4 linked regions of the Mus musculus genome follow. The protein of the gene in region 1 interacts with the protein of each later gene in a pairwise test. Links are inferred from orthologs where the notes say so. Each region holds a gene or a part of one and is shown in the gene's direction. Other genes may lie near its edges. The genes, in order: Arr3, Dvl2, Gnmt and Zkscan17.

What was found.
Region 2: the proteins of Arr3 (region 1) and Dvl2 interact in a two-hybrid assay, tested with the Homo sapiens proteins (2 studies listed by BioGRID and IntAct). The two-hybrid records come from large-scale screens. The link is inferred for Mus musculus from reciprocal best matches to the Homo sapiens genes ARR3 and DVL2.
Region 3: the proteins of Arr3 (region 1) and Gnmt interact in a two-hybrid assay, tested with the Homo sapiens proteins (2 studies listed by BioGRID and IntAct). The two-hybrid records come from large-scale screens. The link is inferred for Mus musculus from reciprocal best matches to the Homo sapiens genes ARR3 and GNMT.
Region 4: the proteins of Arr3 (region 1) and Zkscan17 interact in binary tests that used the Homo sapiens proteins (3 or more experiments, as listed by UniProt). The two-hybrid records come from large-scale screens. The link is inferred for Mus musculus from reciprocal best matches to the Homo sapiens genes ARR3 and ZNF496.

Annotation. Positions count from the first base shown.
Region 1 is NC_000086.7:100,608,008-100,612,259, forward strand, and holds part of Arr3 (arrestin-C), read left to right. Parts: intron 1-3,737; coding exon of another isoform or gene 3,738-3,740; coding exon 3,741-3,940; intron 3,941-4,044; coding exon 4,045-4,104; intron 4,105-4,252. UniProt on the Homo sapiens protein: May play a role in an as yet undefined retina-specific signal transduction. Could bind to photoactivated-phosphorylated red/green opsins.
Region 2 is NC_000077.6:70,003,151-70,007,402, forward strand, and holds part of Dvl2 (segment polarity protein dishevelled homolog DVL-2), read left to right. Parts: intron 1-1,654; coding exon 1,655-1,724; intron 1,725-2,004; coding exon 2,005-2,150; intron 2,151-2,286; coding exon 2,287-2,396; intron 2,397-2,511; coding exon 2,512-2,647; intron 2,648-2,787; coding exon 2,788-2,878; intron 2,879-2,985; coding exon 2,986-3,055; intron 3,056-3,140; coding exon 3,141-3,280; intron 3,281-3,363; coding exon 3,364-3,440; intron 3,441-4,252.
Region 3 is NC_000083.6:46,725,821-46,730,738, reverse strand, and holds the start of Gnmt (glycine N-methyltransferase), read left to right. Parts: upstream 1-1,573; 5' UTR 1,574-1,587; coding exon 1,588-1,793; intron 1,794-3,346; coding exon 3,347-3,474; intron 3,475-4,022; coding exon 4,023-4,133; intron 4,134-4,327; coding exon 4,328-4,470; intron 4,471-4,556; coding exon 4,557-4,678; intron 4,679-4,767; coding exon 4,768-4,918. UniProt on the Homo sapiens protein: Catalyzes the methylation of glycine by using S-adenosylmethionine (AdoMet) to form N-methylglycine (sarcosine) with the concomitant production of S-adenosylhomocysteine (AdoHcy), a reaction regulated by the binding of 5-methyltetrahydrofolate.
Region 4 is NC_000077.6:59,499,937-59,504,188, reverse strand, and holds part of Zkscan17 (zinc finger protein 496), read left to right. Parts: 5' UTR 1-41; intron 42-378; 5' UTR 379-415; coding exon 416-805; intron 806-1,088; coding exon 1,089-1,269; intron 1,270-4,252. UniProt on the Homo sapiens protein: DNA-binding transcription factor that can both act as an activator and a repressor.

The DNA of each region.
Region 1 (4,252 bases):
TGTGTGTGCCAAGTATGTGCGTGCATGCGTGTATGTGGGGGAGAGAGATAAGGAAGGGAGAGACAGAGAGAGACAGACACAGAGAGAGAGAGAGACAGAGAAGGAGAGGGCCTAAACGTGTATTCTACAAAAACCAAGGAAATAACAAGCACAGGCAATACCAGCAGGAGACAGCACAGCCCTCCGGCAGCCGAACTCTAGTTCAAGATTGCACTGAACTACTTCCCACTGAATTTTCCCCTTTTAATTCTCACTATGGATTAACCCCACTGTGATCCAACTGGACTGAAAATTGTGTTCAACTGGAGAAAAGATTCAGAACCAGTTGGTGACTACTCGTCCAGAAATAGCCTTTAGATACTGGGAATGAAAGAGCTTTCCTTTCTGAGATTAAGCACCACGGATAAGCACTCTGGACAATTTCAAATGTCAGAGAAACTTTTCAGAATAGGCACAAATTAGCCAACTTATTTATAAGTAACAAATACTCTGTTTCTAAAATCTAAGTGGTTTTATTCCCGCACTTCTAAAATTTCCCAGAATAACCTATGAAAAGAAATATTCACTTTTTAAAGACTGCATGTTGCTTGGCATGATGACTAACATCTACGACAACACCCAGGAGGCTGAGGAAGCAAGTCCAAGGCCAGGCTGGCATGCAAAGTGACTTTGAGGCCTGTGAAAACTATATAGGAAGAACTTATCTCTCAAAAATTACAGGCTTACTCAGAAATTAGATATATTTGAGTTTTTTATGTCTCTTTGGTAGAGTTTTGACTTATTATTCATTTCAATCTTATATATTTCTGACATTTCCTCCCACTTGTATGCTCTGTTACTTTGTGAACATCATCTTGCTTTGACCGTATTTTTCAAGTCCTTCTCCATCACAGGTGTATGTTTTAATGTAAACCATCCTTTTCTATGCACTGAGTGGTAAAGTCAAGTGAGGCGAAAGATGTGGGGTATGGTACACACACACACACACACACACTACTGTTTAATAGCACTCTATCTGGCCTCTCTGTGTGCTATTCTTTGCAACTGCAAAATTTTACTGTATAAACAAACAGTAGTCACAAAAGTTTTTTTAAATGTTTAATTTCGGAAAAGAAATGAGAAAACAGTTATAAGTACCTGAGATTGCCTTGTGTTTAGTTGTAGAAACAAAGCAATTTAGAAGGCATCAGAGCAGATAACATGGCACTTATCTCTGCAAAAATGGTGCTGTGGTAGAGCTTTGAATTTTTCTTTTTGATTATATTTTTGATGCTCATATAAATGTGTATGTAATTTATATCATTAAGACAAAATGGACACATTTAGAGTAGATGTTGCCTTTTAGAGGAAAATAAAAGCAACCTGCCAGGCCTGGTAATGCAGGCCTGTAATCCCAGCTGCCTGGGCAAGAGGGGCTCAGGCAGGAGGATCACAAAAAGTTCAAGAGTAGGCTGGGCAAATTTAGAGAGATCTCTGAGGCCTCAGAATAAGAAAGTACAAAGAAAGATAAGCGGCTACCTAGTGTGCATGAGATTCTGTGAGTTTGAGACCAGTCTGGTCTACTTAGTGAATTCCAGGCCAGCTAGAACTTCACAGAGAGACCTGTCTCAAAAATAAATATACAAAAAATAAAATCAAATACTACAAAAATCATAGGCTTAATCCCTATAATCAACACACAGCCAGCAAAAGTAGCAGTCAGAGGTAGCCAGATCTCTGTGAGTTCAAGGCCATCACAGATGAAGGGATTATAATTTAATTACTCCTAACCCCATTTCAGCTTTCATCTACTTACTTTTTTGTGCAAAAACCCCTATTTTATAATTTTATAATCCCATAAATACCTTATAATTTTCTTTTAAGTCTATGTCAACATATATGAATCCATAATCTATGAAGCTGCGTTTAAAAATCCACTCGTTGGACATTTCCTTTGTTTTCAACATGTTTTCGACATTTCAACATTTGTTTTAACATATTTTGCTGTTATAAACAACTCTGCATCCCCCAACCCGTTGTGTGTATCCAATTCGCTCTTTAGGCTGAATTCCCAGAGAGCTAGTGTTTCACAGAAAGTTTGTAACGTGAATGTCTGGCCAATTCTGCCTCTGCCTCTGCCTCGCATCTCACCTTCTGAATGCAGTGATTATAGATGCAAACTACCACTTCCAGTGTTTTGTGGGTTCCGGGGATTGAAATAAAGTCAACCAGCTTATGGAACAAGTACTTTTACCCACTGAGCTATCTTGCTGGTATCTGACCCTAATTCTTGTTAACTCTTTTAAACTATTAAATATTTCAGGCATAAAAAAATATATCTACCACCTAGCTTTGAAAAGAAGTATAGACCCAAAGCTTCCTCTGCCCTTCTTTTTGAGTCTCTCTCCCTATCCTTGTCTTTTCTCCTACCCAGGCAACCACTATCCTACATTTAGTGTTTATTTGGTCCATGATGCTTGTATACTTATATTTAACATTCTGTGTCTACAACCAATTTTTACATTGTTATATACAGTTTTAATCTGCATATAAAATTAACAGTGCACATTTAATTCTGGTGCTAGAATTTTTTTTTTGAAATTTAATCATTTAATTATTCATATACTTCTTAGTTGACTAATGCTGCTGTACCAAAATACCCAAAACTAGATAATATATTAGGAAAAGAAATTTACTTTCTCACTATTCAGTAGCCAGGCAAATCCAAGTTAAGGTGAGTAGCATGTTCAATTTTCTGTAAAGGCTGCTCTCTGCATGCAAAATTGGGCCTTATTGCTGGGCCCTCCAGAGGGGAGGAATGTTGTGTACATAGGTGACAGAAGGTGAACTGGAAAAAAAAAAGATGGATGCTACACAAGGCTTCTCTAATAAAGGTCTAAACACCATTCATAAATGAAGATGAGAAAAGGTTCCATTTGTGGTGATATGACAGTAGCTCCGACCAGTCGTGCATTTGAACTCCAACTGAGCCACATCAGCATGAACACTCAATGTCTGGCTTCAATATTTTTGACAGTATGATCTGTGTGAAATGTCATCCCACTGTGGCTTTCATGTGGATGTATCTGATTACTACTGAGACTACACAAATCTTTGGCCATTCCACATGTGCTTCTAAGAATCCACCTGCGTTCTTGGCACACTTTTAGATTGGTGTGTGTGTGTGTGTGTGTGTGTGTGTGTGTGTGTGTTACCAATTGGTAACAGTTATTTTGTTCATGTGTGTACAGGTATGTGTGGAGGCCGGAGGTCAATCTTGGGTGTTTTTTGAGAGTGGATCTCTCCCCCTCTCTCTCTGTTCTGGGGCCCACTGATCAGGCCAGACTAGGTGGTCAGAGAGCCTCAGGAATCTATCTACCCGTCTCCACCTAGCAGCGCTGGGATTGAAGCATGTACCATTGCTCCCCACCTTTTCCCATGGGACCAAATCCAAGTCCTTATACTTTGGCAGCAAATTCTTTGCCAACTGAACTATCTCCTCGGCCTTTCAACATTCCAAATGCTAAACAGTTATATGTGTTTCAAACACTTGAACTCTGAATTTCCTTTTATCTTTGTGAACCTTGTAACACAGAGAACTTTAAAATACTATTGCAATCAAATGTAACCAAATATTTCTTTGTGACTATACTTTTGGGATTATACTAGCTTGCCTCTGTGGGTCTTCCTTTCCCCCCATTTAGGATTTCCTTTGTCACAAGTTTGACAAGTCACTCACTCTCTTCCTCTTTTGCCAGCAGTGTTTGTCAGGTTGACCTGTGCTTTTCGCTATGGCCGTGATGACTTGGATGTGATTGGTCTGACATTTCGCAAAGATCTCTATGTACAAACCAAGCAAGTGGCTCCAGCTGAACCCACCAGCATCCAGGGCCCCCTCACAGCCTTACAGGAGCGGCTTCTGCACAAGCTCGGGGTCAATGCCTATCCTTTTACACTTCAGGTACTGACCTCAAGTCTTGGGCAAAGTTTCCAGGGAAGATTAAGAGATAAAAGGAGAACAGAGAGAGTTGTCCCTATTTTTCTGAGCTCCTTCTGATTTCCTAGATGGTTGCTAACCTGCCCTGTTCAGTAACACTGCAGCCTGGGCCTGAAGATTCAGGAAAGGTAAGGAAGACCATTAGCTAATGACCTTTCCACCAATGACCTAGTCAACTCAAAAGGAGGGAAGGCTTTTTCTTGTCTTTCTTTCTTTTTTTTTCCTCATGGTTCAGTCTATGGCTATACAACTCCGTTGATTTGGGCTCCTGGAAAT
Region 2 (4,252 bases), on another chromosome or scaffold:
GCTAGAACTAATCACACAGACAAATCTGTGCACACAGTGTGCCTGCTTGGTGCCTGGAAAGCTTGGCTGAGACAAGTCAGATCCCTTGGGACTCGAACTATGGATAGTTGTGAGCCACTAGGTGGATTCTGGGAACTAAACCTGGGTCTTCTGCGAGAACGAGTGTTCTGAACCACTGAGCCAATTCTTTAGCCCCCATCCCCACCCCGAAGAAGCTCTGATTTGAGGGTGAGGGTGTTATGTGTGGGAAAGAATGGCTCATGGCTCATAGTTTGTCTACATGGATTTGCTTACAAAGGTGAGGGCTTGTGCCACACACCCAGGACATGTGTTGAATCTAATAGGTACTAATGATTTCTTGTGGGTATGAGAAGGAAGGAACAGGTCTAGTCCACTACAGGAACCTGTGGGAGGCTGGGCTTTGGGATTTTTCAGACCGAGCAGATTGCTTAGTGAGGTGAGGTGGCCCGGAATTGGGAAGCCCAGCTTCCTCGCTCCATGGGAGCGTTCCACACGTGGACTGTTATTGTTGCATGTAAGGGTGATTTTTTACCCAGAAAAGCCACACATTTGGGTGGCTCTGCTTGTGAATTAGAGAGAACTCAAAGGCAGCAGGTTCCGTGAGGACCAGAGGCTTTTATGGGACAGATGTGTAGGACAGAGATGGTTAGGCGGCCAGCCAGGCTCTTAAATTAGATATTTGGAGCAGTTGTGGGAACTGTCCCAAAGGGACTTTGGAGTGGTACTTTGAGGTTTGGATCAAATGGGAAGAAGTCTTTGGAGTGGCATTGTGCCTCTAAGGATGAGTTGGGGTAGTGGTAAATGAGAGAGTCTAGAATTTTTATTTATTTATTTGTGTATAAAAGCAAGTTACTTCACTGTGAAAGCAGAGGAGCTGGGCATGGTGATGCATGCTGGCTGAGTGGCATAGCCAAGTTTGGTGACATATGCCTTTAATACCAGGATGGAGAGGCAGAGTTAGGCAGCTCTCTGTGAGTTTGAAGCCAGCCTGGTCGTCGCTACCGCTGCTGAAAAAAAAAAGGGCAGAAGTCTATAGACAGTTGGCTTAGAGGATGCCGCTGTGTTCTGTTCTTAGCACTAGCACCCACTGGTGGCTCCTGACTCCCTGTAACTAGCTCCAGGGGAGATAATATTCTCCTGTCCTCTGCAAATACCCTCATGTGACAGCCATGCACACAGACATGTACATATACATTAGGGGAAAAGCAGACGACGTGTCAGTCAGGGCAGCAAGTCACCATGCTTGGGCAGGATGGAGATGGGGAGAGACTTGGAATGAGATTTGGAATGGGAGTGACTAGTTTAGCTTTACTAATCTCCCCCATCCCCGTGTTTGTCCCACCCCCACCCCCAGATGGGGTTTCTCTGTGGAGCCCTGGCTGTCCTGGTTCTCTCTGTAAACTAGGCTGGCCTCAAACTCAGATCACCTGCCTCTGCTTTCCAGAGTGCTGGCATTAAAGGCATGCACCACCACCGCCCATCTAGGGTGTGTGTGTGTGTGTGGTGTGTGTGTGTGTGCGCGCAAGAGAAACCCTTGCTCACTGAGTGCCTCTTGCCTCGGCCTCCCAAGTGTTAGTTGAAGGTGTACCCCATCACACCTGGCACCTTACTAATCACTCTGCTCTCTCCGCAGGGTGGTGAAGGAAGAGATCTCCGATGACAATGCCCGCCTACCTTGCTTCAATGGAAGGGTTGTCTCCTGGGTAAGGGGACTCATTACTGAGCTGCTTCCAACCTCAGTCTGTCTCTGCAGCCTCCCCCCTGCTCAGTCGCGGGTGGCCTGGCTTCCCTCTTCTCTAATGTGGATACAGTGAGCACTCCTCGGCCTCCTCTTCCTATAGCCTCCCGTACTGGATTGTTTTTTCTGGCCTCTTCACCCAGGTCTCCAGGACCCTGTGTCCTTCTTTTCTGGTCCTTTTCCTTAGTTTCTTCTCGTACACCGCTCCCCAGCAGAACCATGTTTTCTTACGTGCTCTCTTCTAGCTTGTGTCGTCAGATACCCCACAGCCTGAGGTGGCTCCCCCAGCCCATGAGTCTCGGACAGAACTGGTTCCTCCGCCTCCACCCTTACCCCCTTTGCCACCAGAAAGGACCAGTGGAATTGGGGACTCAAGGCCTCCATCCTTCCAGTGAGTCCTTTATATTCTTGAGTCCAGGGGATGGGAGCGAAGAGGGAATTCAGTCTAGACCTCTTGAGAGAGGGGGACTGAGGTTCCGGTGCTCTGTCCGACTGACTTTGGTTGGAAACTCTCTCTACCTGTGTAGCCCTAATGTATCCAGCAGCCATGAAAATCTAGAGCCTGAGACAGAGACCGAATCTGTCGTATCACTGAGGCGAGACCGACCTAGGAGGAGAGACAGCAGTGAACATGGCGGTGAGGGGATGGACCCTGGAGGCAGGGTAGACTGAGCTGGGCAGACAGGCAAGCCTTAGCATGCTGGGTATGAAGAAGGGGAGGCCTGGCTCCTGAGTCTCTTGTTTATACACAGCTGGTGGCCACAGGCCTGGTGGCCCCTCGAGGCTGGAGCGCCACCTGGCTGGCTACGAGAGCTCTTCCACCCTCATGACCAGTGAGCTGGAGAGTACCAGCCTAGGAGACTCGGATGAGGATGACACCATGAGTAGGTATGGCTGCACACTTCCCTCCCTGTTCCCTCCCTCCTCCCCCCTCCTCCCCTCCCCCTCCCCCCCAGCCAGTCTTCTTGTTTCATGTGGCTCCCTGACCACTTCCACCTCCAAATGCTATGCTTCTCAATTGCTATCAGGTTCAGCAGCTCCACTGAGCAGAGCAGTGCCTCCCGCCTCCTCAAGCGCCACCGAAGGCGAAGGAAGCAGCGGCCGCCACGCATGGAGAGGGTGAGGGTTCTTTTGGGATGAAGTGGGCTCTGGTTGAAACACAAGCTTGTGGCTTCTCTCTCTGTTGACGGGGAGCAGTTCACACCTTTCATGTCTCCCCGCTGTAGACCTCATCCTTCAGCAGTGTCACCGATTCCACAATGTCTCTCAACATCATCACGGTCACGCTCAACATGGGTATGGAGGGTCCTGACGGGGAGAAGGGAAGGAGAGAGAGGGGCTTGGGGTTTCTGGGGCTCAGTCATATGGCCCCCCTCCACAGAGAAGTACAACTTCCTGGGCATCTCCATTGTGGGCCAAAGTAACGAGCGTGGTGATGGGGGCATCTACATCGGCTCCATCATGAAAGGGGGCGCGGTGGCTGCGGACGGGCGGATCGAGCCTGGAGACATGCTTTTGCAGGTGCGCTGACGGCCTGGCTGCTGGCTGGGGCGGATGCTCTGCCCCTCCCACACTGCCCATGACCCACCACCCCTTCCCTTCAGGTAAATGATATGAACTTTGAGAACATGAGCAACGACGATGCTGTACGAGTGCTGAGAGACATCGTGCACAAGCCAGGGTGAGTGCGGCTGGCCCCAGGCCTCTTGGGCTTAAGCCTGTTTACCTTTGTTTTGCAATTTTTATAAAGACGTGAGGCCAGGCATGGTGGTGCATGCCTTTAAACATGTTATTTGAGGCACAGTTGGGCTGAGTGTGAGGCAGCCTGGTCTGCAGAGTGAGTTTCAGTCCATCCGGGTCTACATAGCGAGAAAACAAAAACCAAACAAAACAAGGGCTGTAGAGATGGCTCAGCAGTTAAGAACACTGTTTGCTCTTCCAGAGATCCTGAGTTCAATTCCCAGCAGCCACATGGTGGCTCACAACCATTTGTAATGAGATCTGATGCCCTCTTCTGGTGTGTCTGAAGAGACTGACAGTGTACTCACGTACATAAAAAAAAACAAATACGTCTTTCAAAAGAGAACAAAACCCACAAATTGCAAATCTCCCTGGCATGTCACTCCACACTAGAGCATGAAGCAGATGTGGGTGAGCACCTGAGAAGAGGCCACCCACTGTGTGCTCCTTGCCACTCCCTCTCCTCACTGATGATAATTACCGTTTGGCTTCTTTGGTCAAGAAAACCTTTAATGGTTTTTCATGCATGAGTCCTGGAACAAGATGGTTTGGTGTTACCTGGGTGAGGCTTGCTGTGAGTGAAGGGAACATTCACTCTGCTCTCCATTGTTCCCCGCAGCAGTGTTTTGAACTTAGCCATGTTGTGAGTCACACGCACTGTGGAGGCCTTCACCCTCACTCTCTCTAGCCCAGCAACGTGAGCTCTTTTCTTTCCCACCTCTCTGTCCTCAGTCTCCTCCCACCAGGCCTCGG
Region 3 (4,918 bases), on another chromosome or scaffold:
GAAGTCTATGTACCCTAGAATATCTTTGAACTCCAGCTTTTCTGTTCTCAGCTGCCAAGTATAGGACTTACAGGCACACACCATCACACTCAGCCTCGAGAATCTTTCTGAGCATAGTGTCAGAGGCCTGTGTGTAGGGACATTGAGTCCCCAAGACTGAGCCTGGTCAGAACCATTTGAGATTGGCGCTGTGCTAACAAAAGTTAAAAAATATGGGCTGGAGAGATAGGTCAGCCATTAAAAGCCCTATCTGCAGCTAGGGTCGTAGCGCACGCTTTTAGCCCTAGCCCTTGGGAGGCAGAGGCAGTCGGATCTCTGAGTTCGAGGCCAGCCTGGTTTACAGAGTGAATTCTAGGACAGCCAGAGAAACCCTTTCTCACAAAAACCAAACCAAACCAAACAAACCACTTGGTCCTCTGTGGGGTTCAGTGTCCTCAGCACCACCGAGTGGCTCCCCACTGTCTACAACTGCAGGTTCAGGGTATCTGAAGCTCTCGATTCTGGGCTCCACGGGCGTCAGACACATACTGACATCTATGAAGTCAAAACAGCCATACCTACTATAAGAAGGTTAAGTCACACAACTGTGGGCCTCCTTCCATCTCCAGGGTTCACCCTGCATTGGGAAGGCGAAGGGAGGGCGGGCGGGCGGGCGGGCGGGATGCTCCCTGTCTTCTCTCTTCTTTCCACGTAACGAGTGTTCACAGAGTTGGAAGTGTGTGGGCAGGCAGGGCAGGCGGGGCAGGCTTCTCGTCGCTCACACGCATCTTCCAGAGCCGACTTTAGCCCGGCTGGGATCTTGTCCTTGGTGGGGTAAAAAGGGTGAGCGGGTAACACGAAACGGACCCTCAGGTTATACAGTGACGCTAGCCCGAGCGGGCGCCATGAGCACCTTCCCTGCCGACCCCCAACTTTCCTCTCTGAAGGTGCTCCCATGGAAAGCAGATGGAAGGCTTGCTATGTCTCCCACATTGTTCACTAATTCATTGAGCACTAATAATCCTCCTGTCTCACCTTACTACACCCAGCCTTTAAGAGATTGCAGAGTATAAAGCCCATGGATTGGAAGGCCCAGGCTACCTTAGGAGGCTCCTGGCTGGTATGGGGGAGGGGAAGAGAGACACGCCTATCTCCAGGTGTACTCTTGTACTTGGATGGGCATCTTTCTCAAAGACTGTTCATAATGTCCCGACACAGTGGCTCTCTTTAGCGGAGTGTTCCCTCCACTAAATGATAAGCAGTGTTGTGTAGACACTGTGCTGGGCTGGGCATGTAATAATTCTGTTTTGGGTGGATTTCAGGCTTCTTCCCCTTCCTCCTTGGGTAGGGGTGGAGTGATCTCTCATTGCTTTACTTTGTGAGTTCCTCCCGGCCACCCTGGCGAGTCCTATCTGACCTGTCTTACTAAGCCAGGTCCAGGATTGCTGTGCTGAGCCATCCTCAAGGCAGAGGCAGCAAGCCTGGCTCTGGGCCCAGGGCCCAGCAGGGGCGTGTCCCTGCTCTCACCTGCCATTGGCCAGGTGGGACTGCCTTGCCAGAGGATTATAAGTGCGGATCGCGTGGCCTGAGAGCCAGGCGCCGGTCAGGATGGTGGACAGCGTGTACCGTACCCGCTCCCTGGGGGTGGCGGCCGAAGGGCTCCCGGACCAGTATGCAGATGGGGAGGCCGCACGTGTGTGGCAGCTGTACATCGGGGACACCCGCAGCCGTACCGCAGAGTACAAGGCGTGGTTGCTTGGGCTGTTGCGCCAGCACGGGTGCCACAGGGTGCTGGACGTAGCCTGTGGCACAGGGTGAGTCCAAACGGGCCGGCCTGCTTAGGCCAGTCTGGGCAGCCTCTGCGGGCTGGAGCCTGGCAGGCAGTACTAGGGGGTCAAGAGCCCTTGCTCATCAGGGTAGTATGGGCATGGGAGAGCATCTGCCGAAACAGTGCGGGAAGGGGCCAGGGTGTGCGCAGAGAAGGATTCATGGGACAGAGCAAAATCCGAGCTTTGGGTCAAGGTGGATCCTTGGCTCCGGCGCTGTTCCTCCTGCGATTGGCCTCTGGCAGTGTGAACAGAACATTTGTAGCACGTTTGCACAGCCAAGTGCTGTGCCAGGAGTTTGGGTACGTGTGTTGCAAGCTGTAACAAAACCCCACGAGGTGAGCAGCGCTTTTCTCCAACCAGTAGTACTAAAGAAAAAGTCATTTCCAAGAGGTAAAAGGCCCCCATTTGGTGGAGAGGATACAGACCAGGATAGTGTCTGGCCCACACTCCCGACTCAGCCCAGAACTCACGGACACCTCTGACTGAGATATTTCCAGGAGCACCAGTATGCCAGGTTCTCAAGTGCACTTTTGTAGAATGCCTGACTATGATTTAAAAACAAAAACAACAACAAAAAGCCATTGAGCCGGTGAGATGGTCCGACTACTAAGAGCCCCTTAGGCTCTGGCAGAAGACAGGCTCTCAGTGCCTAGCATCTGCATCAGGTGGCTCATAATCGCCTGGAATTCCGTTCCAGGGGGAGGTTAGCGCTCCCTTCTGGCCGTGGAGGGCACTGTACTCACATGTACTACACATACAGACATAATTAAAAATAAAAAAAAATGTGTTGATGTCAGGAGTAGTGGCACATATATTTAATCCCAGCACTCAGGGAGTCCTAAATAGGTGGCTCTCTGTGAGTTCCAGGCCCTGCAGGGCTACATTAGGAGACCCTGTTTCTAATAAGAGGCAGCTGGGGAGATGGCACATGTTCTTACAGAGGACCCAAATTTGGTGCCCAGCACCCTCTCTGGGGTCTGCAGACACAAGGTATGCACATGATGCACATATTCAGGCACGACACATGAAATTAAATTTTGAAAAAAAATTTTTTTGAAACAGAGTCTCTCTTTGTAGCCCCAGCTGTCTTGGAACTCACTGTTTAAACCAGGCTAAAAAAAAAACAAAAAACAAAAAAAAAAAAACTCTCAAAAAATTTTTTTGCTACTTGATAAGGAAAATTCTTTTTTTTTTTTTTTTAAGATTTATTTATTATTATATGTAAGTACACTGTAGCTGTCTTCAGACACCAGAAGAGGGAGTCAGATCTTGTTACGGATGGTTGTGAGCCACCATGTGGTTGCTGGGATTTGAACTCTGGACCTTCAGAAGAGCAGTCGGGTGCTCTTACCCACTGAGCCATCTCACCAGCCCCCAGGAAAATTCTTAATGGGTCACTTGAGACCAGTAGAGATGGCCTGGGACAGGAAGCAGAGGAACGGACTCTGGAATGTTATGTCTGGGGAAATGTCACACACATTTGGCCTCCCAGGCTCCTCTGACTGGTCCTCTAGTCCCCCGTTTCTGACCTCATCCAGAGTGGACTCCATCATGCTGGTGGAAGAGGGCTTCAGCGTGATGAGCGTGGACGCCAGCGACAAGATGCTGAAATATGCGCTTAAGGAGCGCTGGAACCGGAGGAAAGAGCCATCCTTTGACAATTGGGGTAAGTCTGTCTGTCCAGGCCCCCCCAGACATGCACCTCCAGGGTCACTCTCTGCCCTGGCTCTCTCTTGCTGTGGAGCTGAATGGTTTTTCCTCAGGGCACGGTACAGTCCCTGTCAACTTCCTAAAAAGGAAGGCTTTGGCATCAGAGTAGGATTCCGGCTGGTAAGAGCAAGTTTGTTGTATTTATGGTGCTAGGCATTGAACTTGGGCATGCCAAGTAGACCCTTGATCACTGGGCTGCATTACCAGCGGTTTTTATGCTTTTCCCGTGTTGCCTGGCTTGGCTAAGCTAGATTTAAGTGATGCTCCTGTCTAACAGAGTCTAGAGGTGTACGTCAAGTCACTGGGCCCTACAGAGCTACTTTTAACTGTCTTATCACATCCTGTCTCTCCTCCCTACAAAAGCCCCTAAGTGGAGGGCTGGCTTTGCCAACTGTGGCTCTCTCCATCCCTAATGAGTCCCCATGTGTCTCTGGGAGGAGGTGGTTGCTTCTGTGCTGTGCTATAATTCTCGACTCCCCCCCCAACCCCTGCCCTGGCCTCCAGTCATTGAAGAAGCCAACTGGTTGACGCTGGACAAAGATGTGCTTTCAGGAGATGGCTTTGATGCTGTCATCTGCCTTGGGAACAGTTTTGCTCACTTGCCAGACTGCAAAGGTAAGCTGGTGGCCTTGGCTGTGGCTCTTGCCTTGAGCTCCCCCACGTCCGAAGATGGCTGGCCTGCTGCCCTGATAAGGCAGACCTGCATTTTGCCTGTCTTCTTTAGTGCTGGCACTTGGGAGGGAGACAGGGGCGGGAGGTGGTGCTGGAGGCCTAAGCAGATGGTGTCTGTGGCCCTGCCGGGAACCCAGGTGACCAGAGCGAGCACCGGCTGGCACTAAAGAACATTGCAAGCATGGTGCGGCCCGGGGGCCTGCTGGTGATCGACCACCGCAACTACGACTATATCCTCAGCACAGGCTGTGCGCCCCCGGGGAAGAACATCTACTATAAGGTTGGGCTGCCCCCCAATGGGAAGCGGGAGCTGGAGGGCCAGAAGCCCCGTGGTGGCTCAGGGAATGACGCAACCCATGCCCTCAGAGTGACCTGACCAAGGACATTACGACGTCAGTACTGACAGTCAACAACAAAGCCCACATGGTAACCCTGGACTACACAGTGCAGGTGCCAGGCACTGGCAGAGATGGCTCTCCTGGCTTCAGGTATGACGTGGTTTGGCAGGAGAGAGGTGGTGGTGGTGGGGAGACCTGAGGCCAGCAGCCCTCATATCTGGCTGGGGGCCCTGTTGCAGTAAGTTCCGGCTCTCTTACTACCCACACTGTTTGGCGTCTTTCACGGAGTTGGTGCGAGCAGCCTTTGGGGGCAGGTGCCAGCACAGCGTCCTGGGTGACTTCAAGCCCTACAAGCCTGGCCAGGCCTACGTTCCCTGCTACTTCATCCAT
Region 4 (4,252 bases), on another chromosome or scaffold:
TGCTGGGGCTATTATCCTCCAGGAGGACCTGTCCATCAAAGGTATCACAAACCTTGGTTACACATAGATGCCTGTGGCCTCCTTGTTCTCCTGGGGTACTGGGAATGCCAGTGTCCTGTTGAATCGCCACCACTTTTCTCCCAAATGCCCTGCCTTCTTTACTGCCACATGTTAGGGGACTCCTCATGGAGTGATGGCTTGTGGGAAGGGTCATCTTTCTTTCGGTTCCCATGTGTAAGGACCAGCCACACCAACACTTCGTACATTTCCCAGGAATTCCTCAAAGGGCTGGTCTCCCATGGGCTCTGCCTAGCACCCCCTCAGAAGTGGCCACAGGAGACCAGAGCATTGAAGCCAGTGATTTCTGTTTGGAAATAGGGTCGTCTTCTGCCGCTGACCCCCATCAAATCCCATCATGCCCACAGCCCTGTGCCCACGAGTCTTGGCTCCAAAGGAAAGTGAGGAGCCCAGGAAAATGAGGAGTCCTCCTGGAGAGAACCCCAGCCCTCAGGGTGAGCCTCCCAGCCCAGAGTCCTCTCGACGCCTCTTCCGCCGCTTCCGCTACCAGGAGGCCGCAGGCCCTCGGGAGGCCCTGCAGCGCCTCTGGGAGCTGTGCCGGGGCTGGCTGAGGCTCGAAAGGCACACGAAGGAGCAGATCCTGGAGCTACTGGTGCTGGAGCAGTTCTTGGCTATCCTGCCGTGGGAGATCCAGAGCTGGGTGCGAGCCCAGGAGCCTGAGAGCGGAGAGCAGGCTGTGGCTGCAGTAGAGGCTCTGGAACGGGAGCCAGGGAGACCCTGGCAGTGGGTGAGCACCGGGCGTCTGGGAGAGGGGAGCCCTTGCTGACCCTGTGAGACTTCTGACCCCAGATGAGAAATTCTGTCCAGACCCAGTTTGCTTTCTTTCCTAAGAAAGCAAACATTACTCTCTATGAAGTCTAAGTTGAGATGATTGTTACCCATCAAGTCCATGGATGGCAAGACCAGAAAGGGAGAAGGCCTACACAGATCTGTGCAGAGCCTATGGGCCGGGCTTTATCATACTCCTCTCTCTCTACCTGGCCCTGATCTGCTGCTTTCTGGGATTGCAGCTCAAGCACTGTGAAGACCCGGTGGTGATTGACGATGGCGACGGGCCTGCTGCGCCTCAGGACCTGGAACAAGAACGAATGTCAGCAGAGTCCCAGAGCTACCCTGATGCCCCGCCTGGGGCTCTAGTACAGGGCACTGGGCTTCTAAGCAGATCACCAGGCCAGCCTAGCGAAGACTTAGGTATGCAGTCTGTAGTGTGAGCTTGAGAGTTGAATTATACACTACCAGTGTGCTTGGGTGTTGACTAAAGTGATGGCCTTTTTACATTCTGTTTTCTCGTCTCCTCTGAACTGTGCACGATTACTGTGTTCTGGGTCTTTCTGCAGAGCAACCGACACAGAGTCTCTTGGTATTGAGTCCTCCCAGAGGGAAGGCCTGTGTGAACAGATGGTGTGAGATTATATGGTCTTCTTTCTTTGAGAGTATTCTCAGTGGAGACAGAGAAAGTCACTGTAGAACCAGGACCTGTGGCCTGATCTGAGCATGGCTCTGTCTTCTGTTCTCTCGAAACCACATTTTCTTGGCTAGGTTACTCTGCAGCTATAAGAACATCTAAAATCCCCTGGGAGAGAGCAGTAGCCTCTCCTGCAGATGGCTCCAGTGCCCTGTGGCAGGGTTTGAGTATCTGTTTAAACCATCCAACAGCTGCAAAGAGGGGGGAAGTGTTAGACTCAAAGCCTGAGCCATTGTTCCTTTGAGTTACAGTAGGTCATCTCTAGGTTCCTTGAGGTTTGCTTCCCCAAGGCCCCTCAAGGCCCAGGGACCCCGTATCCCTCTTATAAGCCTTGCCACCACAACAGTACTCTTAATTATAATGGAAAAGGTGCATTTTTGAGATTTTTTTTTTGTTACTTCTGGCGTTGACTCTGTTCAGTGGTTGGAGGTACAGCTCTGTGGTGGACCATCTGCTTAGCGTGCACACACCCCTAGTTCCGTCTCCAGCACCTTATCTAGACTAAAAACAAAACCTGCTTCTGTTTTTTCTTGTTCTCCTTTCTTCCTCTTCCCATCCCTTCCTCAGGCTGCCCTCAAACTGGTGAGTCTCCTACCTCAGCCTCCTGAGTGCTGCAGTTACAGGCCCACTCAACCATAGTTGGCAATTAGAGTCTTTTGTTTTAAAAAAAAAGAAAGTGTGTGTGTGTGTGTGTGTGTGTGTGTGTGTGTATGTGTGTGTATATTTTCCTGCCTGCCAGTGTTTACTGACTTCTGTACAAATCAGAACTCTTCTGTCCCTCTGGCTGGAAGGACCATCTGTGTTGATGCGGTGGCACTGCCCACCTGTGTTCTACACGTTGAATTGCTTCTCCAACAGCAGTTAGTTTCTTCTCTCATGGCTGTGAGGTTGACTGGTCAGCCTTGGGTTCTTCTGAGCCTCCTTGAGTTAGCAGACAGACAACCACTCCTTGCTGTATCTTCCATCTGCCTGTCTTCTCGATAACCCTCCTTAGTGACACCAGTTAGGTTGAGTTTGGGCGCATGCTCATGAACTCATTTTAACTTAATTGATTCTTTAGAGAGCCTTCCTCCAAATACAGTCACATTCTGAGGTGCCTAGGATTAGAGCTTGTGAATTTACAGGGACCATAGTTCAAATATATCAGGCACTATAAGGAAAGGACCATTCCCCCAAGTCAACACTACTGTGCGAGCAGCCGTTATATACATATGAGCCCTTCTAGGGGAGGGATGCCCAGGGAGAGGCCTGCTGTGAGGGATCTTCTAGAACACCAGTTGTGTCCACTCAGACTTGGGTTGCTTCCTTGGGCAGTACTCGATACAGAATTTCCTGATGTCAGCAATTGGGAAGACATTTAACACTAGGACGACCTACTAGCTTCTAACTGTGATGCTCTTCTGCCAAAGTAGCCTCTGGGTAGAATGAAACGTTGATCCATCCATAATAGGTGGCAGGCACTAGGGAGCAGAATTAAACTTTTCTTCCAGATATAAATTCAGTATATGAGCAAGATTGAGCGGTGCTTGTCATCCCGTGCTGTGTCACCCTGTGCCCGCTCTGGTTCTTAGGATGTGCTTTCCATGTTGCACAGGAAAGATAGGATGCCACCCTTCATGACTGAGTCGCATCTCAAGTGTCTATATGTTTGCTTGCATATTTTCCCCGTCTGTCTCGCTCTGTCTCTCTGTCTGTCTCTCTCATGTTGTTTTTCTTTTTGAGATAGGACTTCCTGACTGCCATGAAACTCTCGTTATGTATCCTCAAACTTGAGACCCACCTACCTCTACCTCCCACGTGCTGGGAAAAAAATTAAGAGACAATATGCAGCTGGATGTGATGGTACATGGCTTTAATATACATACATACTGTGCACTCGTGCACGCGCACGCGAACACACACACACACACACACACACAGTGTTAGGTTATGTTGTCCCTATTGATCGTCTTCTCCTTCCTTGTGTTCATTTCTCCCCCACTCTACCCTACTGCCCTCCTTCCCACCCAGGTGTTCTGTGTCCCTGTCCTCCCCTATTCTTAACCAATCTTCTCTCTCGTAGACCGTATTTTCTTATCTATCCATCTGCCGATAGACACTGTGATCCTCTGACAGCTATTGTGCCTGATTCCCCAGGGAACGTGACAGTGACTTGCCCCTTTGAGATTTTATTTCTTTTGTGGTTTCTAGTCACAAGAGGGATTGTTCAGTAATAACAGTTTTGTTCATTTTTTGAAGACCTGCTGTTTTTCCTAATGGCTGTGCTAATTCACATTCTCAATAAGGTACAGGATTCTCTTTAACTGCATCCACACTAACTTCTTAAACAGCCTTTTTTGGAACTGTGCAGGTGACAAGTTCACAAGTGGTCCACATGGGCCCTCCCTTCACTGAACTGCCAGTTTTAGCCTTTTAGCCTTCATTTAGGCTTTTTTTTTTTTTTTTTTATGTGAACACTTAATACCGGTGCAAACATGCTTTGTTGTAAATGTGATAGTCAGAGGATGACTTGTAGGTCCCTGGGATTGAACTCAAGTCATTGTGTTAGCAGCAAGTGCACTTTCTCATTGAGCCATCTCACCAGCCCTGTATTTATTTTTTGAGACATGGTGGTCTCATCCTAAAGGCTGGCCGATTCTCCTGCCTCTTCTAAAGGCTGGGATTACAGGCCTGTAACACTGTATTCTTAGCATATTTAGATGCTGAGAC